Linked DNA regions of Oreochromis niloticus. The protein of the gene in region 4 purifies or fractionates together with the protein of the main gene of each other region. This does not show direct contact. Links are inferred from orthologs where the notes say so. Each region holds a gene or a part of one and is shown on either strand. Other genes may lie near its edges.

The links.
Region 1: the proteins of exosc5 (region 4) and c1d purify together in Homo sapiens (affinity purification with mass spectrometry; 4 studies listed by BioGRID and IntAct, counting the BioPlex papers as one, with this or other methods). This does not show direct contact. The link is inferred for Oreochromis niloticus from reciprocal best matches to the Homo sapiens genes EXOSC5 and C1D.
Region 2: the proteins of exosc5 (region 4) and zfc3h1 purify together in Homo sapiens (affinity purification with mass spectrometry; 3 studies listed by BioGRID and IntAct, with this or other methods). This does not show direct contact. The link is inferred for Oreochromis niloticus from reciprocal best matches to the Homo sapiens genes EXOSC5 and ZFC3H1.
Region 3: the proteins of exosc5 (region 4) and hbs1l purify together in Homo sapiens (affinity purification with mass spectrometry; 3 studies listed by BioGRID and IntAct, with this or other methods). This does not show direct contact. The link is inferred for Oreochromis niloticus from reciprocal best matches to the Homo sapiens genes EXOSC5 and HBS1L.

What each region holds. Positions count from the first base shown.
Region 1 is NC_031978.2:9,067,322-9,075,040, reverse strand, and holds c1d (nuclear nucleic acid-binding protein C1D), read left to right. Parts: upstream 1-4,706; 5' UTR 4,707-4,824; intron 4,825-4,878; exon of another isoform or gene 4,879-4,901; intron 4,902-5,083; 5' UTR 5,084-5,087; coding exon 5,088-5,225; intron 5,226-6,396; coding exon 6,397-6,463; intron 6,464-6,629; coding exon 6,630-6,685; intron 6,686-6,773; coding exon 6,774-6,965; 3' UTR 6,966-7,480; downstream 7,481-7,719. Other genes in the region: uncharacterized protein LOC102078762, read right to left, coding at 341-455, 825-905, 1,276-1,361, 2,623-2,789, 2,973-3,103, 3,419-3,585, 3,831-4,038, 4,117-4,275. UniProt on the Homo sapiens protein: Plays a role in the recruitment of the RNA exosome complex to pre-rRNA to mediate the 3'-5' end processing of the 5.8S rRNA; this function may include MPHOSPH6.
Region 2 is NC_031972.2:2,020,157-2,027,148, reverse strand, and holds the start of zfc3h1 (zinc finger C3H1 domain-containing protein), read left to right. Parts: upstream 1-3,988; 5' UTR 3,989-4,213; coding exon 4,214-4,742; intron 4,743-5,784; coding exon 5,785-6,171; intron 6,172-6,336; coding exon 6,337-6,426; intron 6,427-6,992. UniProt on the Homo sapiens protein: Subunit of the trimeric poly(A) tail exosome targeting (PAXT) complex, a complex that directs a subset of long and polyadenylated poly(A) RNAs for exosomal degradation. The RNA exosome is fundamental for the degradation of RNA in eukaryotic nuclei.
Region 3 is NC_031980.2:8,000,939-8,008,122, forward strand, and holds the start of hbs1l (HBS1-like protein), read left to right. Parts: upstream 1-4,166; 5' UTR 4,167-4,405; coding exon 4,406-4,448; intron 4,449-5,095; coding exon 5,096-5,164; intron 5,165-5,391; coding exon 5,392-5,523; intron 5,524-5,732; coding exon 5,733-5,984; intron 5,985-6,446; coding exon of another isoform or gene 6,447-7,184. UniProt on the Homo sapiens protein: GTPase component of the Pelota-HBS1L complex, a complex that recognizes stalled ribosomes and triggers the No-Go Decay (NGD) pathway.
Region 4 is NC_031979.2:33,448,774-33,456,227, reverse strand, and holds the start of exosc5 (exosome complex component RRP46), read right to left. Parts: upstream 3,018-7,454; 5' UTR 3,000-3,017; coding exon 2,864-2,999; intron 481-2,863; coding exon 367-480; intron 151-366; coding exon 29-150; intron 1-28. Other genes in the region: bckdha (2-oxoisovalerate dehydrogenase subunit alpha, mitochondrial), read left to right, coding at 4,720-4,833, 6,442-6,618, 6,726-6,812, 7,422-7,454. UniProt on the Homo sapiens protein: Non-catalytic component of the RNA exosome complex which has 3'->5' exoribonuclease activity and participates in a multitude of cellular RNA processing and degradation events.

The DNA.
Region 1 (7,719 bases), on a different chromosome or scaffold from region 4:
ATTAGCTTTAAGCTGAGCTGTGTTGTCAAGGCAAGGCGAGGAAAAAGTCCTTTTGCTCAAGAGTATTTTTAAATAATCGGTAAATAGCCTGTTTAAAAATAAAGGCAACTACAGACATTCGTCATTAGGGCAGATGGTAATTTAGACAGATTAGTCAGCATTTTATAAAAAGTAACAGGTGAAAAAATGCATTTGGTTTTTTTTCTGACTTTCTAGTTTGTATTATAATAGCTTTACACTCTGCCTGACCCACATTTTGTTTTGGATCACCATCTTACAATGCAGCATAATAATTCACAAAGTGTTAAAATGTAGGCGTGAAAGTGAAAGTGCTACATGCCTGGCTTTGGCAGATGTTGCCTGTAGAGTTTCAGGTGCTCCTGGGCCAAAGCACACAACTTGTCCACATTGTCTTCTGCTGCTGTCATTTGGAGTCTTTCCTCCCAGTTACGAAGCTGTAGTAGAAAATAGACCAAGCAGGAAAGCTTAAACAGATACAGTAGGAGTAGTGATATGAGCTATATTATAACTTATATTTAACACTGGAGAATATGATAAAGGCAAATCATCTACAGCCTCATTTATATCATAATTATGATTCATAATCATATTATAACACAATCAATGTTAAAATAATTTTTTTTATTTTCATTTGATTAAGTGGGTAAACTATCAAGGTCCTAGATTACCCACATTCACCACAAGATAGAACTATGGCCATAAATAATTGTACTGTAGGTTGTTAGGTTTGCTGTGTATCATCAACATCAGTCAGAATATTAACTAACTGGACACTGAAAGAAGTACGCAATAGAGCTTATTACCTCACAGGTGTGTTTGGTCTCTGTCTCCCGACATTTGGCTGATTCAAAGTGCTTCTTATACCAATCTGTCTCAGTTACATCCTAAAAGAAATATTATCCTGATTATACCACAAAAAAAAAGATTTTATAAAGTGCATTTACCAGGTTCCACTGATAAAGCTTTGAACTGGAATGACAAGGTGGCTGTGCTGAATATACAGAACTGGGTTTATCATTCTACCAATGGTAAAATAACAATTACTGAAATGTAAAAATTATAAATGGTTGCTAAAAACTACTATTTTATTGACTCATTCAACATCAAAGTGGACACAACTTTTACTGTGGAAGTCAGACTTGCGTTTACTCACAGTTAAATGGAGCATTGCCTTGTAAATAAAGGATAAAGAGTGACAAAGTCGATATCAGTGATTCTGACAATGGAGGTTCCTGCTTAATCTTTTACACTGACCTTTGCATCTAGGTCCCCTGTAGGTTTATGTAAACAGTCCAGAATGTGTGACCCAAGCTCAGACAGTTTCATTGTAGTATCACACCCTTTGTTTAAAAGGGGAAAAAAGCTCATTAGAGGTGGACCGGGATGGATTCAGCTGTCAGTTTATTTAACAAATCTGTAGAATTGCTCCCCATGCAACGTCTCCCAAGGCAATGTGTCCAAACTAGCAATTAATTGACTCGATGAAAGCATGCTCCTGCACTCTCGATATTTTACCTCCATCTTTATTTCAGTCCATCTGTCCCTGTAGGTGCAAAAGGCTTGATAGGCTGAGATACTGGGCGGGTGTTTCAGGGTCTATTTGTTATGGTCATATCTTTCTAATCGATCTTTTTCTGTGGCTGCTTCTAAACACATGTTTTCTTCTACTTCTCTTCACCACAGTTTGCTGCAAAGTTCTGTTAAGGGGCGTTTATAAAGCATATTAAGGTTGAAATGTTGTATATAAATAAAACTGCCACTTGCAATTTAAGGACATTTTCCTTCACTGCTATGAGAATGACAGATGATCAGTTATATAAGTCTTTTAAGCCCCAAGGTGTTTCTAAGCTAGAGATTTTGCAGAGGTGCTGAGGCTCTATGAAAAGTTGGATGGCTGACAATTATCTCTAACTTAATGAAGAGAAAACAGAACTTCTTAATGTGCCCCTGACAGATTTGTACCCAAGATAATAAATAAGCTAAAAACTCATCTTTTTGAAACTTGCTTTTGGTAACTTTTTGTTTTAATGTTTTAGCATTTTTGTTGTGATGTACTTTGTGATATTTATCTTGGAAGATGCTATATAAATACAATTTTACTTTATTTGTACTTTTAACTAAATTAAACAATTTAAGAGAAGCCTTGATTATTTAGAAATACACATCTGAGTAAGCAAGCCAGATCTTCTGAAGGCCTGATATAAAATCCAGTCTTTGTCTCGTGACAGTTAGTGGCACAAGGTTTTAGTTAAGTAATAATACCCCCTGTCATTAGGGCAACATGATAGTTGTCTACAGTACTACATCATGTTACATGATAGTATAGCTTGTGTAATCACTTCTGCTAAGAGGTAAGATACCTGTTAACAATGTAGTTGTATGCATTTTCTATAGGTGTGAAAATAATGCAGTAACTCAAAGAATCCATATTAGAGCAGTGGCTTCATTTGTTATTCATTGATGTGACATTCATTGTATTAGAAGTTCAGGAATCTACGAGCTCTCTTTAAGAACAACAGAACCTCCTCCTATCTGAATATCCAGAATAAGAACATCCACTCTTCCCAGTAGCTTTAAACTAATATGTTTGAAATGCTTCACCTCTGTAAAAAAAGAAACACTTGACCAAGGCAGCTGACATCTTCTTGTCAAGGTCCAGTTCAACAACCTTCCAGCCGTCTCCGAGAGGACAATCACTAAGTGGGTCAACTTTTGATCTTCGGGCAAGCAACTCAATATAAGGCCTTGAGAAGATGCTCTTTGGTTCACTACAATTTAGCAAAAGAACAAATGTGTGAAAGGTAAATTGCTGTATATTGTAGTATTTTTTATATAGAGGAAATACATCATTCATTTGCGAATTAATATTCAGCATGAACCAAAGGATAAGTAATGGATGTGACTATTGGCGAATATGTTTTGCAATATGTGTTAACTGTTTCAAGACTTACCTGTGATTGATAGACAAAGGCCTGTAGAAAGCACTTAGGGATACTGGGCATTCATACTCCAGCTGCTGCTTCACATCAGTGAAAGTCACAGGCACAGGAAGCAGCTCTCGAGTCACCAACACCTTGTACACCTGAAAAGGTGAGAAGATCATTAGGTATAAAATGCTAGCTACTCCCTTACTGACAAAAGGTTACCACAGATAGATGTATGGGTACAAAGCAGATGGATCCACTCATGTGCAGGAGTTATTAGGGCTCCAACAGAGACCTTTAAAAAGACTCAAATTCCTAATAAGTTTCATTATGCAGAAGCAAAAGCAACACTAAAAGCATATGAAGTTTAAAAATTTAGAAAACTATATGTTATCAGGTGGATAATGATGAGTTTCAAAGCATTTCAAAGAATGCATATATAAAGTTTTTCCACCATCCATGTCTTATTATACCTGTGAAACACTGCCATCTGGTGAACAGACTGAAATCTCCACCACTGTGTCTCCAAAATTCAGAGGGACTGGTTCCGAGCTGTTCACCCCATTTACTGTAACTTTAATGCCTCTGTCAGGCACCTCAGGAAGGAGTGTCACTGAATTACAACAAAAGGGAACAGTACCTGGAGGGAAAACCCCCCCACAGAAGCACATAAAAATTTATTTTGTAAACTGAGAAATACTGCAAACCTTTTATGTCTCTGCATTTTAAATAATATTCACTTACAAAGTAGCATATTTATACATACATTTACACACATGTGTACTGCTGCTGCTGCTTTTGTGTATCAATTGAAATAGAAAACAAAACAAAGAATTATACATTTCATATACAACTTCTTGTTTAACACAGATAGGCTGTACTCACTATTGTATTCAAAAACTTTGGTGCAAAATGCGGGGTGAAGTGAAATATCTCCTTCCAAAGCCAGGTTACTGAGCTCTGCGATCTTTGCTGACAGTTTGGTGATTTCCACACTGTATTTCTTTATGGTACCATCCTCAGCTACCACCTCGATTCCTACTCTGTTCAACCCATCTTTCAGTGTAATCGTGTTAGACCTTTCACCGAAGAGCTGAAATAGAAATCACAAGGCTAAATTAGATGCGAAAGAGACTTGAATTGAGAAATAGAAGCCATAAAGCTTGCTCACAATACTATATGAAGCCCCACAGTCGCTTGTCATCACGTCCAGTGTTACTTCGTTGACGCTGCTCTCCACAGTCACTTTGTAGTCTGTGACTTCAGGTGTGAACGATGGACGGAGCGTCCCAGCAGAAACACAGAGCTTCTCTAAATCACAGTTGTCCATGATGACTCAGGCGTCTTCTTTATAGCTTGCTTGGGTTTAGCTACAACAGTCCCAAAACACAGCACTTCCCATCCTAGCGCGCTCAGTTTTATTTACCACACTGACGCCCCACGTTACCACAGTAACATGACCACTTCTGTTGTATTTAGATATTAAGTTACTACTACATATGAGTATTTTAAATAGATTTGGGCGTTTAATAGGAATGAAAACAACAGCTGGCACTTAAAGAAGTTTTTCGTTTAGACCCTTGCTTAAAAAAATGTGTCAAAAGTCAATAATAAGGAATATAGCGTCGATTTAGAGAATACACACGGTTATAGAAAAGCGGATATTGTTAATAAACAAAATATAGAAAACTGCAAATAAAATGTTTATCACGCTAAAAAAAAAAAATAAATTAAAAAAAAAAATTAGCTAACGATAACTAGCTGTTCCACTCATCCCACCGGCAGACGGCGGTAGAGGAGCGAAGAGGAAAGCGAAGACGACTAGGTCACAGTTTTAACGTCATTTCCTGTCGGCTAAAGCGTGTTGTTTGCTAACAGGGTAAGTATGTGATTTTTTTTCTTGTTTTGTTAGATTTAATTTACAGTGATCCTGGTTTGCTATTAAATCAGTAAATGGTAACTTACATCTATCCTTTTTGTCACTTTCCTCAGCTTATCTAAAGGTTATTTTGGTTTCCTGTTAGCATTTTATGCTAGCTCTCTCCCTGGACATACTGCTGTTGCTTTTCTGTTCTTCTAATGAAAAATAGTGCTACAGGAAAGTTACACGACGGTGTAATTATTCAATTATTTTACAGAAATATGGCCGCAGAAAGCGCCGCTGAGGACTACCCTCACGAGATAGATGAACAGCTCACGTGCTTCGACTCGTCAGTGACTTCAGTTAAAACCATTTTGGAGCAGTTGATGTCGATGCCCAGAAATGACCTGCTGCAAAAGGTAGGCCTAATACTATTATACACATCGGGTACTGTGGTCTTTTTGTTGGCTTAGATTTGTGCTTGTGCGTACCTACTATCTATATACCCTCGTGCACTCACCGGCCACTTTGTTAGGTACACCTGGTCACCTACTCGGTAACAGATTATTTAATGTGCCAATAGCTCAATCAATTTAGGAATGTGAACTTGGTCAAGAAAAACAACTGAGATGGGGATGGAACGTGGTCTTAGTATTTCAGAAAATTGCAGATCTTCTGGGATTTTCCGTCACAATCATTTCTAGGGTTTACATACAATGGTCTAAAAAAGAGAAAATATCCAGTGAGTGTCTGTTCTCTGGGTCAAAATGTCATGTTGATGCCAGACGTTGGAGGAGAATGGCCAGACTGCACAGGCTCATAAGAAGGCAACAGTAAGGGTATGCAGAAGAGCATCTGTGAACACACAACACATTGAACATGGTAGCTAATGGGTGACAGCAACACAAGACCACGCTTGGTGCCACGTTTATCTGCTATCAACTGTTCAGGCAGCTGGTGGTGGTCTAATGGTATAGGGAATTTTTTTTGCCATATATTTTTGGCCCCATACTACTAATTGTGTTTAAGTGCCGGCCTACCTAAGTATTGTTGTTGACCATGTCTATTCCTTTATGACCTCAGTGTATCCATCGTCTGATAGCTGCTTCCAGCAGTGTAACACGCCATGTCATCAGATCATCTCAAACTGGTTTCTTGACATGACTATTAGTTCACTGTACTCAGATGAGCTCCATAGTCACCAGATCTCAATGAAACAGAGCATCTTTGGGATGTGGTGGAACAGGAGATTCACATCATGGATGTACAACTGACATAGCTGTACCAGCTGTGTGATGCTATCATATCAATATGGACCAGAACTCTGAGGAATGTTTCCACCTCCCTGTTAAATCTATGCTATGAAGAATTACGGCACTTCTGAGGGCAAAGGATGTCAAAACCCAATGCTAGAAAGATGTACCTAATAAAGTGGCTAGTGTGTTTATTTTCTTTTATAGAGCAAAATTTTATTCAGTGAAACAATACTGTACGTTGAATATATATTACAAATACATTTAATGAAAAAAGTGATACTAATCTGTCATATGCAGGAGGTTATAAAAAAAATTAAATTTGGTTTATTAACAGTTGGATCCTCTGGATCAAGCCAAGCTGGATCTGATGTCTGCCTACACCCTTAATTCATTATTCTGGAGTGAGTTTTTTCCCTATTTGGTCTAATCGTTATATCTTGATGAATAAAAATGAAATGAATATAGTGAAAGCATACCAAAGAGACAAATACATTACAACTTTTCCGTACATGGATGTCATTTTGTGTGTAAAATGTGGATATGTGGCTTTATTTTTATCTTACCCAGTGTACTTGGTAACACAAGGGATAAATCCCAGAGAGCATGGAATCAAACAAGAATTGGTATGTGCCATCTATCTCTGACTTATTATTTGCTCACATGGATTCATATGTATTGTCTAATTCCTCAGTAACCATTCTGTTGTTTCAGGAGCGAATAAGAACATATATGAACAGAGTGAAAGAGATCACAGACAAGAAAAAAGCTGCCCGTCTGGATAAGGGAGCTGCTGCACGCTTCGTCAGGAGTGCTCTTTATGATCCTGATGATAAGGATTCTAAAAAAAAAGCAGCAGGCACATCTTCAGAAGCTCCTCCATCAAAGCGTTCAAAGCAGAAATGATATAAAGAAGAATCTGCAGAGTATGTCAAAGTGCAAAAGAGCACAACCTTTAAGGGTGATGAACACTGAGGTAAAACATTTTGGTCATAAGCCACATTTGAAGGCTACGGTTGTCTGATCAACAATTACACAAGACAGCTAAACAGAACAATTCATCATCAGGATCATAGCTTGGAGTCGTGTAAATTTTCATGGTTGCCCTGCAGCAGTCTGCAAATGTGTTTGACAAGCAAAAGACTGTATTTGCCACGTTTGACACTTCATCTCAGGGCAGTCTCAGATACTTTTGGATCTTGATGCCAAAAGCTGGTCTAGGTTTGATACATGTTGTAATGTTCTTGTAATGTTACACTGGTATAAATCTTTGTATTTTGAAAGTGATTCTATGAATCAAAAGGTTTTTTGGGTTTTTTATTTTAATTTTTTTTGTTTTAAACAAATGCAATGTTTTGAACATCATCAAGAAAAAGGTTTTGTGAGTATAATGCCTTTAGCATAAAAATATTCACCAAAAATACAGTGTTTGAATTATTTTCTTTTATACAGTTTATGGGCAGCATGGTGCTGAAATGTTTAATAGTGTCGCATTATAGGAAGATTGTTACAGGATGCAAACCTTCTGCTCAGCTGTCCGTTTCCTCTGGTCGATCTGAGAGTGCATGGTGGTTGTATAAATTGACCGTATGATACACTGCTGATCTATCTAAGGCAATGGTCAGCAATTAATTTTCCTAAAGGGCCACATGAGAAGCTA
Region 2 (6,992 bases), on a different chromosome or scaffold from region 4:
AGCCTGCTCCCGAGCAGGTTTACGCTTACGGATCTGTTGCTATGGCAGCAAGTCCCGGATGAGCTTCGGAGAACCGAATGATCCAAGATCACGCGAAATCGTCAACAATCAAATCCAGCTAACTTACTTAGCGAGGTACGAAGAACGGACACCTGATTTACAAACTGCCTAGTGTTTTCCTGCAGAACAACAACATCCCAGTGCTCCCAGAAAACGCCTTCAGTGGAAACCCATCAGATCAGTTTTCACCTGTCATACTAAAATCTTTCAGGCTGGCAGTGAAGCTTTCACTTGTTTTAATTTTTCATCCTGACAGAAACATCCTGTTTACACCGTGGATCACTCGTCTATCCATCTGCTCTCTGACCCCCTGAATTCGTACATTATCCTTGTGTCACATCAGCATCACTGCTCTGAACTCGTGAACAAGCTCATCATGAAACTGTGCTGCTTGTCCTGCCAGATCTCTGAGGGGAAGCATTTTCTCACACTTCACCAAGAGCAGAAAGGAAACACCGTGAGTGTTTTTTAACACCCACTGACCACTGAAGCTCCAAAAATCTGAAAGTTTGCCAAACTTTCTCAGAGCTTTGTCAGAACAAAGAAGGAAGAGCATAGTCTCTCTGGAAGGTTCGAAACAATCTGAAAACCTGCAGCTGCAAGGTCCACATCCAGACCAGCACACTGACAGGTGTCACAGAGCAGTTACAGGTGTGACTTATGTCTGTTTCAGGAAACTGTGGGGTCATCGAGCAGCTGTGAGAACCACTCTGAGTCACCATCCACCGGTCGCTGCTTCAACTTCTGCTTAAAATGGAAGACTGAATTTTTAACTCACATAATTTTAATAAATAATCAATAATAAATGACTAATAGAAACCGAGGCCACCTGTGTGATTTAAAGTAATATGACTCTGATGATCTTCCTGACTTGTGTCCACCTGCAGCTCCACACAGAACTTCCCACGAAGACTTCATGCTCCACTCCACTGTGTCCTTCATCTTCTTGATCTCCGTCCTCCTCAACCTGCTGCTCCTGATCACCTTCCTGCTCCTCTGCTCAGTTCCTACACCTTCCTCCTGCTCCTCACTGTGTCTCATCGCCACCCTCTTCTGGCTTCACCTCCGCATTCACCACATGAATAAATATAAGCTCTCCTTTCAAAACAAGCTGCTGACACTTTATTATATAAGCCAGTGGTAGACATGGCCTTCTTGCTGTGGCCACTTTCACAGAAACACACAGAGAGACTGATTCTGATTGAGGGAACAGATAAATAACCATCAGTGATGTCACACAGGGGGCTGAGCAGACAGGAAGCACCGCAGCCTGCTCCCAGTTAAAACAAGAAATGAAACAAAAACAAGAAACAAAATTATAAACTATAAACAAAATAAACATTACATTAAATAAGAACAAATGAAAACAAAAAACATAAACAAATAAAAAACAATAAACTAAAAAATAAAAACAATTAACAAAACAAAATCAATGAAATAAATTAAAATTAAAACAAAACAAAACAAAACAAAACTATCAACAAAATAAAAACAATAAATAAAGTAAGAACAACACGCGGAGGCCCCGCCTCCCGGGAGGAAGAGAAAAACCCACAGCTCTCCTTGGCTGTGTCCCAATTCAGGGTCTGCACGCTTGAAGTACGCATTTCAAGTGCGAGTACGTCACCGCCACGCGACGACGGCTGTCCCAATTCAAAGTGCACTTCAAATGCATACTCCAAATGCGCCGTCGATTTCCCCAAATATCAAGCGTGGTCCGGTGCACGCTTCGTGGTCCCATATATCCCACAATCCATAGCGCGGCGGTGGGTGTGGATAATTTTGCCGCAAAATACGGCAGAAGGGAGCAGCCGAAGAGTGAACTGTCAAAAGTAAGTACTGAATATTATGTCACTTATTTATGTGGGAATGTTTAAGAACATTAAAACATTACTGTTGGCCACATGTCGGCAAAGTTATGTGACATTAGTGATGTTTGTACTTTCAGCGGTAACTTGGTTTTAAAGCCTCTACTTCTAAATATATATATAGTCGACCTTAATCTTACAGAGAATGTGATGATTTTATGGATAATTAAAGTCAGTCATATATCCACAAACACAACAAGCTGAAAGTCAGTGATGCTGCTCGGTTTACAGTCCTGAATATGACGGCACAAGCAGGATTCACTGCACTGTTAATGTTAGCTATGTTATATTGCTGCCTCTGTTCGGTGGTGTCGAGCCAAACGGACTTTAACGTGTGTTTGAACGAGCTGACGGTTCACTCGTTAAGCTGAAAGAAAGATGCTTTAATCACAGGAGTCACACATGTGTCCACTGGACCATCTGGGAACTCTTCTTGTTTAGCACTCGTAATAACACAAACACTAAATCCTCCTTCTCTTGTGCTGTTTTGTTGCAGTGTATACACCTGAGACTGTCACCTGTCTGTCTGTCCTGCACTCTCTCTCTGTTTCTTTCTCTCTGATTGTGGAATAAAAGTATGAACATGTATTTATAAGTTACACTTGTGTTTGAATCCTGCAGCTTATCACACATTTGATTTCCATGTGTGACGACTGCAAGTGTCCAGAGTGAGGACAGACTGAGGGACCCACTGCTGCACATCATCTGTGAGGCTTTGCACCCCTGATGATCCACCAGGACAAACTCAGCAGTGTGTGAGGAAGAGGAGGAGGAAGAGCCAGCAGCAGCTGACAGATGGAGAGAATAGACAGACTGTTCCTGTTTGTGAAGGACTGCTAGGAAAGTTTAGAATAACTAATTGTCTGTCCTGAATCAGTCTTATTAGGTAATGTTCAAATAATGTGATCATCCCAGTGTTTTCAGTGTGGGAGAAAGTACTCAGGGCCTTCAAGTTAAACACTATGAAAGGCAGCAACAAGTTTAATGTTCAGAAACCTAAAGTATGTATCAGCAGCAGAATGGAGCTAAAAATAAATGCTTGTTTCAGTTCTATGAAGCTTTGAGTATTTTGGATCAGTAGTACTGCTCTGTTTGTTGCATCATATTGCTGTAATTGTTTATATGCTTTATATATTCTGAGGTAAGCTGATCTATAGTGTTACATCATATTCTATAAGGATGTTATGTGTTTGTATAGTTTCTGCCCAGTTTGACCCATTTAGCAGAAGTCAGCCTGTTTAAGGCTCTGATATCTATTCTGTATGACTTAAAGCAGTTATGACATGGTCTGATTTTCTCACCCAATAAAGGAATATTTCATATATCAGTCTGATCTTCATTCTATCAGAAACAGTTATCACAGCTCGTACATTTTCTTTTTACACATATATATAAGCATTGAGCCAAATTTAGTAATGCCAACATATTGAAAGAACAATGTTTGTCTCTTATATATAATACATCTGTATATACACTGTCAGAGATACTTGTCTTTGAGTGAAGATTTAAGGTGATAGGAAATATAATTAACTGCTACTTGCATCTTTGACCCAGAGTTCAAGCTCATATATATATATATATATATATATATATATATATAAAATCTGACAATACATATAATATTGTCCATATTATATTAACATTACCACAGTGAGATGACTTTAGTCTCATGAATAACATTAGCTAATTATTATTTACTAACTAATCTTAAAATGACTGTTCAGTACAGAAATGAAGCCCAACTATCATGTTTTACAGTCCTGTGGTCTCAACTAATCAAAGTGATGTCATGACAAAAATGAATGAACAACAAAACATTTTTTCTCCTTCATTTCTGTCACACAAAGCTGTATGAAACATTTCTCGCGGTTAGTATCATGGTTGCTAGGCAACCTGAACAGCGCAACGAAGGCTAGACCGTCCCATTTCACAAGCCTCTCACTTCCGCACTTCCCGTACTTGTAGTACGCACCGTACGTAGTACGCGTAGTGTGCGTACTTCAAGCGTGCATACCCTGAATTGGGACACAGCCCTTGTCACTACCCGGATACGTACGGTACGGATCGGGTAGCGACACTCCTTTTATGTGCTTTTTCCGGTCCCGCGAAGTCTCGCGTTTTATCGCGGTGATTGTTGGTAGCAGCGGCGCTAGCAGAACGCTAACAGAGAGCTAACGGTCAGAGCGGAGAGAACCTCCGCGAAGCTGCTTCAGAGCCACGGAATGAGCTCCGGGACCCGCCGCTGAGTTCGGCCCCAGTAGGGAGCTGCAGACGGTCACCCCAACATGGACGTAGACGTTCCGAACAGATCCGCCGCGGAGGACGGGGAGCTAGAAGACGGAGAAATTTGCGATGATGATACCGAGGAGAGAGCGCCTCCGCGGCGGGGGGATGGGAGCAGGCCCCGCGGCGGTGCTCCTCCTCGGCCACGAAAGCCGCACAAGCACCCGCACGGCGCGCCGCCGCACTTGGGCCACCCGCCGCCGGACTTCCGCCACCTCATGCCCTACAGCCTCGGCCCTCACGGCCCATTCCCGGCCGGCCACCGGCAACAGTGCGGGCCGAGCGGGCCCGACCGGCCTCCCTCCCCGCCACCGTCGCCGCAGCAGCCTCCCGGGCTCGGCTCTCACGGGGAGCCCGGGCCGCGGTCCAGCTTCTGGGAGCGGAGCCACGGCACGCTGGGACGCTTCCGGCACCGCGGCATGCCGAACGGAGGGCCCGGGGGCTGGAGCCGCGGCGGCCGGGGGGGCAACAGCCGGCCACCTCCCGGACGGTACCTGCCCGGAGAGAGCCACAGCTCCCCCGCGAGGAAGCGTATCCTTTCTGCTGTGTCACGTGCCCCCTGCCCCCGGGACGGTGATTGAATTAGGCAGCCCGCGAGGAGCCGGTCAGGGTTTCATTGATTACATATTGGTTTAATGATCAGCCCATTGATCCGCGAGTGTATTGGGCTTCGACTGGTTCACGTTCACGTTTCACACTCCACCAGGTGCGCGCGTGCGTGACAGCAGGAAACGAAACCTGCGCGGTGATGACGTATGTGTGATTGCAACTTCCCCTCAGCCGCAGCTGTCCTCATTCATCCGCTACACGGTTACATCAGTGATCGATTATTTCCTCGTTCATGTATTGCTTGATCGATCATATTGAAATGATCCTAAAGACAGCTGTGAAAAGCCCAAATCAATAGATGGATCAATAGATCAATACTTTATTGATCCCACAAGCGGAAGTTTAGTGTTACAGACGAAAGGTGGTGGAGTTTATAACAAACAGCTCAGAGCCACAGGTCAGCCTTCAACTGGGACAGAGGCAGGAACTACACACACACTGTGTTAAAAAATCATGTGTTTGGAAGGCAATAATCAAATGTGCAGGTGATGATCTGAGATCATGAGTTCCATAATTGAAAAAGCTTTTGATTAGTTTTCAGAGGGCTGCGTGTTTTCTGCCATTGATCTGCGATCAATAATCCGATGATAGGAGAAGCACCTTTGCTTCTTTTACATGGACATTTTTTTGTGAGGTTTTCTTAATTTGTTCATTTCTTAATTTTACACTTTCTTAAAAAGTGAAACTTTTCATTGGTTGCAAAGATTTGTAATTATTTTTGAAAATTTTACTTTTTTTAATAATATTGATATATTTTCGATTATCCAATTAACCTATCCGCGCCTCTCGCCCTATGACAGCTGGAATAGGCTCCAGCGCCCCCCGCGACCCTGAAAAGGATAAGCGGAAGCGAATGGATGGATGGATTGATATATTTTTTAAAATCATGACTTTAAAAATGAAATGAGTATTGATCAGTGTTGACCAGTAATTCTTGATCAGCGTTCTTTAACGCAGACCTCAGAGAAACCTCTCGGGAGGAACCGGCTCAGGAAGGCGGCTCACGGCGCTCCCAGGCCAGAGAGCAGTGGTGACGAGTCCTTTGAGGATCTGCTGTCCAAATACAAACAGATCCAGATTGAACTCGAGTGCATCCGCAAAGAGGAGACGATGGCCCTGGAGCCACGGACGTCACCAGTCAGGGACGACGTGGTGGAGTGCGTAGCCGCCGCTCTAACGGACGCCAAAGCTGAACCGGGCCCGGCTCTGAGTCCGGCAGCAGCCGCGGAGGAGGCGTCGGAGCTGGAGAGGAAGAAAGTGTTCCAGGCCTTCAACATCAAACCGCTTCGTCAGAAACTCCCCACGCCAGCCGACCTGGACGAGCTGCAGAAGAAGTGGGCGGAGCCTGGTGGTAAGTTCGTAATCCGAATGTTTGGTTTCACATCGCAGCTGTAGACATGCCCCTTTTTACCTGTTTGGTGACTTAAACCACATTGAAGACCAATCCTAAATCACTTAGTGTTTGCTGTGTAAAGCTCGGTGTGTTTTTACAGCTTCCTGTTCTTTGTGTCGACAGGTGAAGGGGATCAGCCAATCACAGATAACGGAGCAGAATTGGAAGGAAAAGGTGCCAAAGAAGCAGAAGAGGGGACGCGCGAGAGCGGCGGTGAGCAGACCGCAAGCATAAACCGAACCGATGCAGCAGACTCTCCGATTGGTCCTCTGAAAGGACGTTTCCCTGTAGGGTGGACCGGGGTTGGTTGTCACATTGCTTGTTACTGCAACAATAGGGGGCGCTGTGGGATTCTGCTGATATCACACATGTGACCTGCTGATCTGTCCGCTTCGCTGCAGTCGGTGTGTGGAAAGTGTTCTGTTACTTTAATGGGGCAGAGAGATTTTTCAGGTATTACAAGCTCACACGGCGCTAGTTCAAGTTAGTGATGAAGCTCAGATGGTGCTCCAGAGGTCAGCTGGGGATGGCTGTGTCTCGGCTCAGAGTGTGACAAATGCTTCTGCAGTCTGGGTACGGCCTCAGTGTCTGAACCCTGACGGTCCAGGTGTGTGTCAGGACCGTGAGAGGCCCAGGGCAGTCTTAACGAGCTGGACGATGGTGCACACGCTAACGCAGAGCCGCTGTGATACTGACACAGTTCACTTTGTTGGCACACGATCACCGAGCTGCTTGCCAAGGCTCAGCTCAGCTGTTTGTCCTTTAAAGGGTCACTAAAC
Region 3 (7,184 bases), on a different chromosome or scaffold from region 4:
ACTAATTGTTAACTGGGAATAAATGTGTATTTTAAAAAATATATCACATGCCAAAAACCAGTGGGAATTTTTATTTTTTTAATTGATTGTTAGATATTTCATATTTTGGGTTGTTTTTTTACATAAACCACTATTTCCTTCAGGATTTATGGATTTGAGTGTGATTATCTTTTAACTTCTCAACCTGCTACTTTAAATACCTTTAAATACCTTTTATATATTATCTCTGTGTACTTTAGTTGTTTGGACTGCTTGCCCACCTGACTGCAAAGGGTGTATGTTTTGCATTTTCCCCGAGGGTGAGTTCCTGTGAAAATGCACTCCCACCATGTCTGGGGCCCTTGGAAAATTATGTAAAGTGTTCCCCCGGTACCTACTGCCAACCTTTAAAGGGACCTCACCCCCCTCCCCACGCACATGCACAGAGGCTTTGTCTTCTACAATTACAGCAGGCTAATCTGTTTGCAAATGTACATGTTGTTGTCACCAGAATTTGCAACCCTCTGCTTTCACTTGACTCCACAGACACCACCGTGTTCCATTTCTCCGCTATCATGCGGATCCTGTGAAATGTTTGGTAATTCATTTGGAGGTGATGTGACAAACGCAAACATCTTTATTTTTATTTTAATCAAAAATGATATAATTTACAGGTTTAAAAACAAACAAAGCAATTATCCTCTGATCCCATCATTCTTCCAACAATCTGTCCATCCATCTGTTTAATCCTTTTAATCAGCGCAGAATCCATTCTCTCAGAAATCCCACTCATCTGCCACTGATTAATTGATCAGACTTTCTGTAAACTCTGCGGCAACAGAGATTTGTCCGGCAAGTGCTCAAAAGCCATTGAAAGGAAACAAGTGTTCAGATCCTGTGTGAAGGTGTGAAATGATCACACCTTCTTGTTGCAACACTAACGCATGTTTGATTCATCTCTATATGTGATTGCATCAAGGTGGCAGAGAGCAAATAAAACACACACACACACACACACACACACACACACACACACACACACACACACACACACACACACACACACACACACACACACACAAACAACGTATTTGGCATAGCACTGTGTCAAAGACTGGTTGGTTGAAGTTGTGGCGTTTTTTCTTTTTTTAAACAAGTCTCTGTTTTGTTGTGAATCTCAAAAGGTTATGTTGACCAAGGACAATGCAAGAGAAACACTGCAGAGACCAACTTCTCTAGTTTCAATTGACTTCTTTTTCTTTTTTTGGCATACATGTCTTCTCCCTTATGCAATATGTTCCATTTCCATCTTGCATCAGGTGCTGTTTGAAGCGTTTAGTTTGTACAATGTCCTAGAAACATTTTGATGTAAAGGAAGAGTTCCCTCTGTCACCTGTGTGACCCTGTAAACTGAGCAATGAACAACAACTGCATATGTATGCATGTGCAGTTGTTTATTTTGACATGTAGATGTGCACCTAAAACTTCAAAACGCAGGAAGTGGAATTTTTTCTTTTTGTAAGGGGAAACCTCCACCCACTCAGGGTCACACATGCATGCGCAGGCAAAGGCACACACACACACACACACAAGGGCAAACTTTTACGTACAACAAATGATCATCTTCTACACTGACGTCCCCCTCCCAATATGAATCCCCCCCCCCCCCCCACGTTGTTCTTACCAACCTCTGTCAATCTGATCTTCGTCAAACTGCCAGTTGCAATATGAGCCATCACTCGTGAAAAAAGTCTTTACAATTACCTAAGCAGGAGCTGTTCTTTATTCTGATCTATTTTTAGCAAGGGGGAGACACGCCAGACCTCATATTTCATTTCACCTTGCAGATGCATGCTGTAAATTTCACCTGCATCGCTGCTATCAGATTATTGTCTGACATTTTCATCATCCTTCCTTTCATTGAGGCAATAAGATGCATCAAAAAAAACAAAACATGCATACATCTGCAAGCATATCTGACACCAAAAAAGGGGCATGTTGCAGACCAGTTCGCAGATAAACAAGCACACGAAATGTTTCTAAAAAAAAAGGGCACACAAATACACTTCTCGCTTCTCCCCCTTTGTGGTAGACAGGCTATAGATTTCTTGTGGTACAAAGATAGCAGGAAAATATGATGTCACTGAGTGTTTGTTCGAGGTGTAGTGTGGGCTCAGATGGGTTGGCCCCTAACCATAGGCGATAACCTTTGACAAAATAGTCATTCACACCCCAAAATCAAAGGTGGGATTCAAATTTGTATGCGCATGGTAGTTCATGTTAGCAGGCTTGAGTTCTTTCAGTTCACTTTTTTTTTTCTTTTTCTTGAGAGAGTGCATGGTGCATTATAACTTTTAAATTAAGTTTTGGTTTGCTTGTTTGTTTGCTTGAATCATTATGGTGTTTCCTTCGTATGATTTAAAACTAGAAAATCTGAACACCTGAGCTGGGTCAAAGAACCCTGTAAAAAAAGAATGACGTGACTTCATCGGTGCAGAGGAAGGCCAGATTCAGCTGTCAGCCCAACAGGCCTGCACGGGATTCACTGAGGATTCTGACAAGTGGAACCAATGTGGTGTTTGGGAACACCGCGGGGAACGAGAGGAAATCTGTGCAGTAAGTCATCGAAACTACAGGGACAGTCATCAGCCTTCTCCACATGTGTACACTGTAAACACAGAGCTGCGGGAGGACAAGTTCCAGCACCATCCGGTGCACAACCTATTCGGGGGGAAGCTTTGAAAATATTGGCACTGGACCCAATAAAATGGCACAATTGTGGAATTAAATAAACCAAGGTTTGAGATTTTTATATATTGGTCTTTTAAGTGTTGCCTCGGAAATTGAAGAGCAAATGATTGAACTCTTTCCTCTCACAAAGATGACATTCGACAACTTCCCCCTGTAGCCTTAATGATGAGTTTTGACACCTCAATGAATCATTAAAGATGTGACTGGACAACAATTAGAATTGTTCCGTTTTTGGGGTTTTTTTTTTTCAAACGTAGCCCTAGTAAGCCGTAAAAGCAGAGATCACATTCACTACTTTGTGATGCACACCCAGACATTATACTCTGAAAACAGGTTAGAAATATGACATAAACTACCCATTTCAGAAAAGAGAAACAAGGGTTACCCCCTCGTAAACATCCAGGTGGGAAACATTTAAAATGAAAAAGACTAAAAAACTGCAAATCAGAACATTATTTAACAACATTTGGTCAGTCCTCTTTCACAGTCAAAGGTCCACAGATCTTAAAGGCCGTGCAACTAGAAATAAAAAATTTGCTTTTGCTGTTACAGGAAAACTATGCCAGGTCAGTTATTACTGATATGAGTCACAAAGGCACCCCACCCCCCCGTTTCTTTTTTTTCTGATTTTCCTCACCTATTTGCTTCTCTGTTTTTGTGACAGTGTCCTACCAAAATGGAAAACTTCACTCTGCTTCAGTGCAGCAAATATTTACAAGTATTGTTCCTCTTAAACGAAAAATATATATAATTCAAGCGCAACCTGAGAAACCACAGGTCAGTGAGCATCACCACATGTGAGGCCCAGCTCTGCAACATTTTTTCTTCTTTCTTTTTTTCAGCCATTGCTATATGTGCCTGATGCCTGGTGGCAAAAAGACTATAGGGCTTAAAGGAAATGCTACACCCCCCACCCTCCTCGCACCATGGACGCTTAACACCTGAGAAAATCTAACACTTTACAGACTGTATTTCATACCACCTCACACCTCTCTTATTTTCCTGTGATACTCTTATCTCTGTCAGACAGAGTCCTCTCCCAGTCATTCACTTTGTTTTAAAGAGTAATTTTATTATAACGTTTCCATTTTACACAGATGGGTTGTTTTCTCTTTCTTTGCGACATAATTTATTTTCTTTCTCTGTTGTGGTTTGTTATTTCTTATTATTTACTGTTAAACTCGTCGTGTAGTGCAATGTTTCTTTTTTATATGGGGTGCAACTTTTATTACTATTTTAGGCTTGCAGAACTTTACTCTGACGGATGCACAGAGTTGAAGCTGTAAATAAATCCAGTGTAATCTAGGTCTGACAGCGCAAACGTTTTGAAACCCATTGAGATCTTATGCCAGGCTGAAGAACTACAAACGGAAGTTTCGTCAGCGAAGAAAAAAACTTTTTATTATTATTTTTTTTTTAAACTTTAATTATGCAAAAGCTCGGTGTCGATGAAATGACGTAAATACAACTAATACATTTATTTTCTTTTTTTGTTTGTTTTTTTGTGTTGTGGTTACATTTATGTATTTGCGTGACTGTCGAATCTATTGTGACCTGCCTGCTGAGGTAGGCTAGCTTCACACAGCAGCAACTGCAGGAGCTTCGCTGGGCAGTGAACACATGTCCGTGAACCGAATTACATAACAGTGGCGCCGAGAGAGGAGGCATAATCAACATGTCTCGTCATAGAAATGTTCGAGGTTACAACTACGATGAAGGTAGATGGCAAAAAGGGTTCCGATTTAAATGCCGCGGCAAGGCCTCAAAGAGCTAAACCAGTTAGCTGTTTACAGCTAAGCTAAAGTTTACAGTTATTCAGTAGCTGTAGCGGCTAATGCTAGGTCGTTTAACTGGCAAGATCACACTGATGTCGTGTCACTTGGCACCTAGCGCAAGATAAATTGTCCCATAACGACAGTAATTACTTATACCCACGCAAACCCAGGATTTTAGGTTAATGTTATAATGACAAATTTTGATGTGAGGTGTGTGTAGCTACTCAATTTACTAATGTTTACTCAGGTTATTGCCAGCTACTTGCCTAGCCTAGCTTGCTAACTATCCAATGTTTTGTTTGTGTCAGTTACACCAGATTCCTTACTTGCTCTTCTTTACATTCACATCTCCCCATGTTGTTAACTTGCGAAATATCTCTGTAAATAAAGCTTAGAGTTTAGCGATTAGAGGAAAATCTCCAGGTTTCCAGTGTGCAGTGGCATTCATAAAGTTGCTGACAAAGCAAAGTCACAGCTGGCATAAAGGGGCTTTACTGCAACTGTGTATACGACTGTTTGTGTGAGGCACAACTAAATGAGCAAAGGTATCCATCTAAGTGTTGTTTTTCTTCTTCTTCTTCTTTTTTCAGACTTTGAAGATGATGACATGTATGGACAGTCTGTGGAGGATGACTACTGTTGCATTTCACCAGCAACAGGTTGGTTAGCATTGATGCATAGTGAAGATGGAGCAAACTAATTTGAATCTGTCTGAAGTTAAGCATACACTGTATTTTCAAATAAATAACTTTTTTTCATTACACTCATTGATAACAATAGTTGCTTGCATTTCCAGTTTAAGTTTGAAAGTATGCAACATTAAGTAGACATCATGTATGATAACGTATAATCTACTATTAAAATTAAATGGTTTTGGCTTATCTAGCAAATCAGTTCATCTACTCGCGTCAAGAAAGACATGCACCAAGGGAAGAGCCTTTAGAGGAGGAAGAATTTGAAGATGAGGCTGTCCCTGTGTCCCCTACTGTCAACCACAACCTCAGCCCTCTTGATCAAGGTAGTATTTTTAAGCACACAACTGTGGCTCAGAATATAAAAATTTCTCAACTTGTTTTTTGTGTTTTCACAATTAAAGGTTCCATGCACCAATTCCTTTTGTCCTTTAAACTTTTGTTTGAAATTGTGCATTTTTTTTTTTTTTACTCTTTGCTTTTTGTATGGATCACAAATCTATTGTGTGTGTCCAATGTTTGCTGTACTCTTTAGCCAAGCTGTATTCCTGTCTGGACCACATGCGGACTGTGCTGGGAGATGCAGTGCCGGACTCAGTCCTGACCCAGGCAGCCATAAAATGTGGATTTGACCCACAGAGGGCACTGGACGCAGTACTGTCTGAAGACACTAAAACCGCTCCAGTTACCAGAAGTACAGCTGAAGAGATTGGTACAGTAGAGCGAGCTAACCAGGACAAAGCGCCACAACCACAAAGAACCAAACAAGAGGCTGTGGCTGACAAAGGTACACCTTGAGTGGGTCAAAATAAAAATGTTTCAGTGATTGAAAACTGTTACCCCTGAGTGATTCAGTGTAGTAACACACCGGGAGGACGTTAATTTGTGGCATTTAAAGGGTTGTATAACAGATTTGGGTTTTCTGTGGAGTTTCATAGCTATGAAAAATTTTTCTGTATAGGTGGGTGTTCCAAGATAAGTATTTCCCATTTCCTCCTCAAACGCAGTCAACATAAGTCACTGCTGCTAGTACTTCTATATAAATATGTGTCATTATTGGGTGTATGGAAGCCTAACAGCCAGTAGTGTTCTTGGTTGATTTCGCACAAATTTGTATAGTGATACAAATGTTTAACAAAGTGCCTTCTTTCTGTCTTTTTTTTTCTCTCTTTTGCTACATGATTGATTTGACTTCTGCTCCCCCTCACCCCTACTCTTCGACAACTGCACTTGGCTTTTGTAAGGTAAGGAGCCTGCTTGTCTGCTTCTCACACAGACACGACATCCAAGGCACATGAAGCCAACACACATGGGCACAAACATGAACATCCACATGTACCTGAACTAAAAGCACCCAGCTTATGTGAACTCTTATCTCAACCAAATGCTGGCAGCTGTGAAAAGCAGGATTTTAGCCTTAAAAACATTAGCCCAGGTGTTAGCAGTGGTGGTAGTCTGGCACAGCTCATCTCTGAGCATGAGCAAAAGAATAAGGGGTCAGTAGTAGCTGACACAAGGCAGGGTTCGGACGTTTCCTCATCCAACAAAGGACTAAATGCAACAACATCAGCATCCATTATGTCTAATCAGAGTAGTATTTCACTGGGAGCTTTGGCATCTTTAAAGACGTTATCAGCATCACCAGCCTCTCCTCCCTCCATCCTTTCAGTTTCACTCAGTAGTCTATCGCTAAACAACCCCAAGACAGCAGCTGCAGGCTCTTCTATGGCTGCTCCTCCTGGATTTGGGAGTCTCAGCTCTGTTGTGCAGAAAAATCAGCAGTCTGTTGAGGTTGGAGGCAAAGCCATGCTGGGTGGTTCAAAGGGCAGCCCAACATTGGCCGATTTAATCCAGGAGCACTCAAATCGAAGCCCAGCTTTCAGTAACTCGCTCCTTACTCCTCAAAGCAGCATACCTTCTGTGATGTTTCAGGGAATGGCTGCACCAGCACAAACACTATCCCTGTGCGAACTTGCTTCCCAGCACC
Region 4 (7,454 bases):
AAGCTTGCAGAGTTTTACAGAAGGATACTGAACCATCATCATGCAGGACCTGAAGAATGAGAGTGAGCGAGGAGCGTGGATGGAGCGTCAGGAGCAGAGAAGCCTCACAGGTTTCTCGCACACACTGCTCTTGTGATCGTTCCCTTACACCTACAAAACAAACAAATCGAGGTATAAAAAAACTTAATGTGAGCAGAAAGCTCACGTACCCCACCCTGTGGTGAGCTGTGGTATAGCAGCTTTTTCCACAGCAGAAACCTCTGAAACATTCTTGTAGATATCAGGATGCAAAAAGTCTATTTCCCTAAAATAAAATAAGCAACGCTGCATAATGAAATTTTTTACCCCTTAAAAAGAAAAACTCACTTGGCAACCCCACTTTGGGCTGTACCAACACCTCCAGGGTCGCCCGGTCATAGATCTCCTTGCTGACTTTGACCTCAGCTGGTCCGTACACTCCAGCCATCACACTCGTGTCTCCTTCAAACAAGAACAAAAAGGAGCATTTTTCAATAAATAACACTGGAGCATTAATGATGTCTTTCCCCACATAAACAGACATCTAGGAGGGGAAAAGCAGTAACATCAAATCATTGAAAGCAGTACGACACCCAGTAAATATGCTCACAGCACATGTAGTTTTTAAAGAGGGGACTCAAACGCAGACACCCTATTTAGAACAAGCTTTTAATAAGAGAACTAAAGCTGATGTCACAAAGTCTCATCATGTAAATTTCACATTTATTCTTAAGACATTTTTTAAAGACACTGAATCAGCCCATCCATCCATTTCTGCTTATCATTATCAGCTATCATAGGGCGAGAGGCGGGGTACACAGGGTGCTGGGCTCATCTCTGAATCATTCTGGAGTAATAATCTGAATATTAAAGGTAAAAGTATAAACACAAATTACAGAAGGATACTGAGTCATCCCCATGCCCATGCCCTGAACCTTGGTCTTATTGTCCACATAGGTGTTACATTCTGTGACAGACATTATATATGTTTAAAATACATCAAATGCAGTAAGTATACACATTTCATATAAACATAGTCTGTAACTTTCTTATTTTCTTTAGCCCAAATAATTAAACATTTCAGTTACATAAAACATGTACATTTTGATTTGATGTACTGTATAGCCTATATAATAAATAGGCATTTGGCCATTAAGTATAAAATACATAGAGGTACAAGACATGAGATGGTTCAGTTAGAAGTTCAGTTCGGTTAGTTTCACACTCTTTTTAAAATTAGAAATAATCAAATTGTTACAGGCTTTAATTTACACAAATTGCCAGAAGTCTGCACTGTCATGAAAAAGTTTTCACCACAATTTTTCATGATTTATTAGGTTAACCCTCTGATGTCCAGGATATTATTGGCCATTTTTGACTACTTACTAATTTTACCTTTACATTTCACCTTTAAAAACTATTTGCCTTGTCTTGTTTGGTATCATTCTTTTCAGCACAATCTCACATGTCTGAATTTACATCCCCAAAAAAATCTGAGCAGGAAAAAGGTTTTACTGTAAAAAACAAAAAACAAAACAAATAAAACGCCAAAATGTTTCAGAATTGCAAATATAAATTGTAAATTTTAAAAACGCCTGCACAAATCTTGCAAAGAATAAAGATACATGCAACTATTTACCTAATAATGCAGCCAATGCCTCAGACATTTTTGTACAACTACTAAAACTATAATTACAGAACAGGTGTCACAATAAGATGCCACACAAATTATTTGTGCCACTCCAAAAGAAAGTTTCTGTCCACCACAAGAAAGAGGAGCACATCACAGACCTGAAACCTGCAGGTCTAACAACAGTATGCGTATCACTGTTTTTCACCTGGAGACAGCGTTTACGCTGCAATCTGCCTTTGATGGCTTTTGGCAGCAACTGTGACAATCACTAGTGTCCTCATTGTTTTGACACATAAAAACAAAACAAAGAACTACACAACACACTAACTTTACATTAACTACACACTCCAAACACGTTAAATGTCACAAATCTCTCACATCCAATGACTGTAGAATTGCTCTCCCCTTTTCCCCAAAACACAAATGTCACATGTTGCCAGATAATTTTTTTTGATTGGTCAATATGGTACATTTTTCCACCAATAGGAAAGTGGTGGGTTTTTTTCGCGCTGTTATTAGAAAATGCAGTTTTTTAACTTTTCTTGGTACATAGTTTGAACTTTCAACAAAAATGAAAATTAAATGGAGACTGCATCTTGTTGCTATGTCATCTTAAATTGGTCATGTGACTTGGAAGCCTCCAGAGAAGTGTTGAAATCTGAAATGTCCATGGTGTTGATTCAAAATGTGCACAGTAGATCCGCCCCTGGAGGGCGGTTAACACTATGCAATAAATGTATTTTATTTTATTAATTAGTTGTAGCTAGGCTCAAAGTTAATGCTACCTTATTTTAATAAACAACATTGTCATATACAAAGGTAAGATGGCACATGCCACCCCATGCCACCCCATACCACCACAATAGATGCGCTCCTGATTCTCATCGTTACATTATTTTGACAAATAGTTCAATATTTCTTATATTACATTTGCATAATCACATCGAAGCATGTTAAAACCCCGAGATATAAATATGTATAAATAAGATTACCAGTTTTGCGAAAAGGTAAATATTATGCCTGATTAACAATACCCCCCCAGCATGTTTTACTTTTATTCTTATTCATAAAGGTAAAGAAAGTCATGTCAGTAACTGAAGTGGCAGGTTAATTTCCAGAGATGTTCCCTAACCTTTCTCCGTCTTTTAAGTCCAGTTTAGCGGTAAGAGGCAAATAAACGCCCAGATAAATAGTTTCTAAAATTAGTGTTACCTTGGACGAAGGAAGCAGAGCCATCAGGTCGAGACAGCAAGCTCTGTTCACAACCAAACTCTCTCAAAGAAACAGTCAGGGAGCCGCAGACCTCCATCGTGGAGAAAGCAGATTTGTCGCAGGCGGATGGCGTCATCTGTTTTCCCTGTAGTTTACGCTCCTTACTGATGACATCAGAATGAGAAAGAAATGTTAGCTTTAATAAATAGTTAATTCACAAGAAATGTGGATCTGTAATATATATCTATGACAACGAAGAAAAAAATAATATTTTTTCATCATAATTCACGTTTTCCTGACGCAATCTGAAGCCCTACTTTGCCTTAATACGTTTAATGTATTTTGAAAGTACCGGAAGTGCAGCATCCGTATAATAGTGTAAACTGTGAGTTTAACAATGTGTAGTTACTCACAATGACCGCCAGATGGCAGGCAGCAGCTGCATTTAAACACAACGGTGTCAACCTATCATTTTCTTCTCTTTTTTTTTTTTCATTATTCGTCATAACCACCCACCGGAATTTTATCTACATCAGTTTATTTACTGCTTTCCACAGGTGAGCTTTCACTGGCATGATGTGAATTGCAATCACCATGTTGCAGCTCGCGCTATCACCACTAGATGGCGATAAATACTCGTGGCTGCAAAAATTGATTTATCTGCAGTCTGCATTTACAACATCAGTTAGCTCAGAACTGAAGCGAAGACATTTTCAGATTTTGACAAGTAGTTGAAATACTTTATTTTAATATGTCAACGCCTCTACCTGCGATATTACTTGGTTTATCATCGGGACTGGAAGTAATAATATTCTTTACTGTGCATGCCACTGACGTTGCTTTTGCTATTAATGCACTACTGCACTGTGACCACAAGATGGCAGCAGAGTAGGGTTTAATTTTTGGTAGGGTTGAAAGGACGTAGAAATCGTTCTTTTATGACTGTATTTAAGAACACTTGTGTTCATCAGTTTTTCCATACTGCTTACGGCTCTATCCTCCCTTCTCTCTTTTTCTTTCTTTCCTATTGCATATCTGCCCCTGACTCTCTAACTTAGGTATAACTGACATCTCAGGTAGAGTTCGTTAGAGGAACGCTGTTTTATTACAAACTGTTTCAGGCATGTTACAGCTGATCTGTATGTCCAAAAAGACACATGCGCAATTTTTCATTCATTTTTTTTTTTTTACTTTTACTTCTTTTTGTAAGATGTATTATATATCACATTGTAATAACTGTCGTTTGTTGTTAATGTGACTGCGTTGCTGTGTCTGAGCAGGCAATGTGTCTTAAAATAGGCAATACTGATTTTGATAAGTTAAAATCGCCCCAAAAAGGCCACCGGAAAACGACCAAGGCGCTTCGTGACGCATATAACATAGTGACAGTATTTTAATTAACAGGTCAGTATCACACAATGGACTTTCATCAGGTTAATTCCCCGACTGGGAGGGGGAGCTTTAATTCATAAAACTGGCACTCTGCCTTTCTGGAAAACCCACGCATTATTTATTTATTTATTTATTTATTTATTATTGCTATTCTAACACAAAAGAGTGTTAAATCTCGACATCTTTAATCGCTCATTTCTTCAACTTATGAAATATGTAAAAACGGACAACTAAACTTAAGGTTTTATTTTGAAGGCCTGGCCGGATGTTGAGGATACTGTAGCCGGCTTTAATGGTGCAGTCAGTTTGCGGCTATCGGCCTGTAAACTGTGGATGTAAACAGGAAGGACAGCGAGCGGTGGTTATTAGCAGTTCCGTTGGCCAGATTTTTACATATCCACCACAGTGTAACTTCTCTAAACCGGTGTGCAGCGGCGGTTAAATCAAACAACTACTGAGTGCCGATGGCGGCTGTGAGCAGCATGAGCAAAATGTATGGGCTCTGTTTCCACGCTGTCCGCCAGACAGCAGGACTGAAGGCATCTCGACTGCTGCAGCGCAGAGGCTTCAGGGTCACTGTAAGTGAAAACTCCGATGCAGTGTTTGGATAGGGCGATGAATAAATTATGGGAAAAGTCGCTCCTGCGGAGTCTGGACTGGAGATAACGCTGCCATTGAGGGGCCGGGAAACATTTTTTATTTCACCATTCATTAACCGCACAGTTTTCTTTAAGCAAACAGTATTATTATAGTTCTTCATGATTGGGCCAAGTGTCCTCTTTTTTGGAATTCGAAATATTGTCACCCTATCTTTTAATAAGTTTTGGGGTTATGTCTTGTTTGCGCAAAGATTCTGGTTAGCTACGGAGCTGCTAGCATGGCTAACAACCTTGCTGAAATTCTATACCGATTCTCCAATGTATCAGTGAAAAGTCAAACTAACTCTCACATATTTAGTGAATACATGTTTGATCTTTAATAAACAACTTTAGTTGCAATAAATACTAATTTTAATTTTTGTTGTTTTGACTCTCACACTTGACTAGTTAGCCAACCGGCTAAAGGCTTAGCTAGCTTCTTTTCCATTGGTCGAACCAAGGGGCGTGAAGGAGGAAATAGAATAGAATAGAATTCAACTTTATTGTCATTGCACATGTCACAGGTACAGGGCAACGAAATGCAGTTTGCATCCAAACTGCATTAAGCTTAAATCCGATGTCCTCGAATGCATCATTTTTTCAAAACAACTTTATTTAATAACTGTTGCTGCTCTATGGCCTTCGCTGCTATTTTATTTCCTTCGATCGCTCCAGCACTTAAATCTGTATGTAACTCTTTAAAAATAATCTAATTTATTTATTTATAGGTCCATCAATAATCATTTGGAGTGTCTAAAATCTGTATGGGAGGGAGATTTGGAAATGGTTGTTATAGTGGAGCAATGGAACTGCACTGTAAGAAGTACATACTTATTCATGATTTATAAGAGTATTGTATTGTCTTCAGCTTTCTGAAGTTAAGCTTTCTAAAATGTCTAAAGATTCAACGAGTGTTATTGTAGTTAACTAAAACAAAACTAAAAGCTTAAACTAGATGTTAAAAAGGTTACCTAAAATTAGAAACTAGCCTTTTGAAAAAAATAAAACTAAAACTAATAATCAATCAATGAAACTTAATTTTTAATTCCATTTTTATGCAGTTTATTAATTCAGTTCAAAGTGCTGGTGGACAAACCCGTGGGGGGGGAAAAGAGCAAAATACAACGAAGCAACACAAATACAAAAAATATTATTAACAAAATAAATTCAGGTAAGTTGTTTGTGCACACCTCTCATAAGGTCCTACCACAGAATCTCAGTCAGGTTAAAGGTCACTGGGACGTTGGAACACCTTTTTTTCAGCTATCCTGCTGTAGATTTGCTGCTCTGCTTAGTATTATCCAGTTGCATGACCCAGTGGTTGTCAGACACATGGCCTCACATTTGACTCTAGAATACTTTGGTATACAGAAGAGTTCACGGCTGTGTGGCTGCAAAAAAAGCTCAAATCACCCCTCCACCACCGTGCTTGACAGTTTGTATGAGTTTTGTGACCTGATATGCAGTGTTTTCTTTTCCTAGAGCCTTTTTTTTGCCACAGCCACAATGAGATTCTTAATAAATAATGATTGTAATCAATCTTTTCAGGTTGTTCAGCTGCAGCAGCCCTTTGACTCATCGCTGGAAAAGCCCCAGTTTCCAGGAGCCTCAGCCGAGTTTGTGGATCAGCTCGAGTTCATCCAGCCCAATGTCATTTCTGGGATCCCAGTGTACCGGGTGATGGACAGGCAGGGAAATATCATCAACCCCTCTCAAGACCCTCAGGTACAATCAGCCTGCCTGTGCTCCTGGTTCCCAAATGTGCCCCTAAGACCTCTGCAGTCTGTTGAGCCAAAGTTAATTTGTCAATTGTGTGTTTCTCTCCAACACAGCTCTCCAAAGAGACAGTTTTGAACTTTTATCAGAAGATGACCCTGCTGAACACAATGGACCGCATTCTTTATGAGTCTCAAAGACAGGTATGTTTCCTCCTGCATCTCCTGGCTCAACCTGATTATTTAAAACACAACACCAGCAGTTTTTGAACTTTAAAAATTGGTGTCTCAAAGGGTATTTTCTTTATCCATTCATTCATTCATTCATTTCCGCCTATCCACTGTTTTAGGGCGAGAGGCAGGGTACACCCTGGACAGGTCGCCAGTCTGCTGCAGGACTCCTTTATATTAACTATAATTTAAAATTAAAAATGAATACATAAAAATGAGGAGTTCTGGAGGACACAGGACTAGGGAGTGTTTTTGACTGAAAGGCCAACTGTTGCTGATTACTGAACGAAATCCAGCGAGAGCCCTTCAGTGATCCTGTGACACAAGCAGGTAGTTTTATTTCCTCCAGATCTTTTAGTCATCTTGGCTTGAGCTGAACTAAACAGCAAGTGATTTTTAGTTTTTATGAAGGGAGAACACCAAACAGTTGTAAAAGACAGAGGTGCACTTGATTTATAACAGCAAAACACAAAGGTTTCAGGTAAAATTAATGGAAAAAGTAAATATTTTTTCGCCACTTACTTTGTTTTCATAATACTTGAGATTACAGTCTGATTAACCGCCCAGCCCTGTCCGTTACAGGGTCGCATCTCCTTCTACATGACTAACTATGGT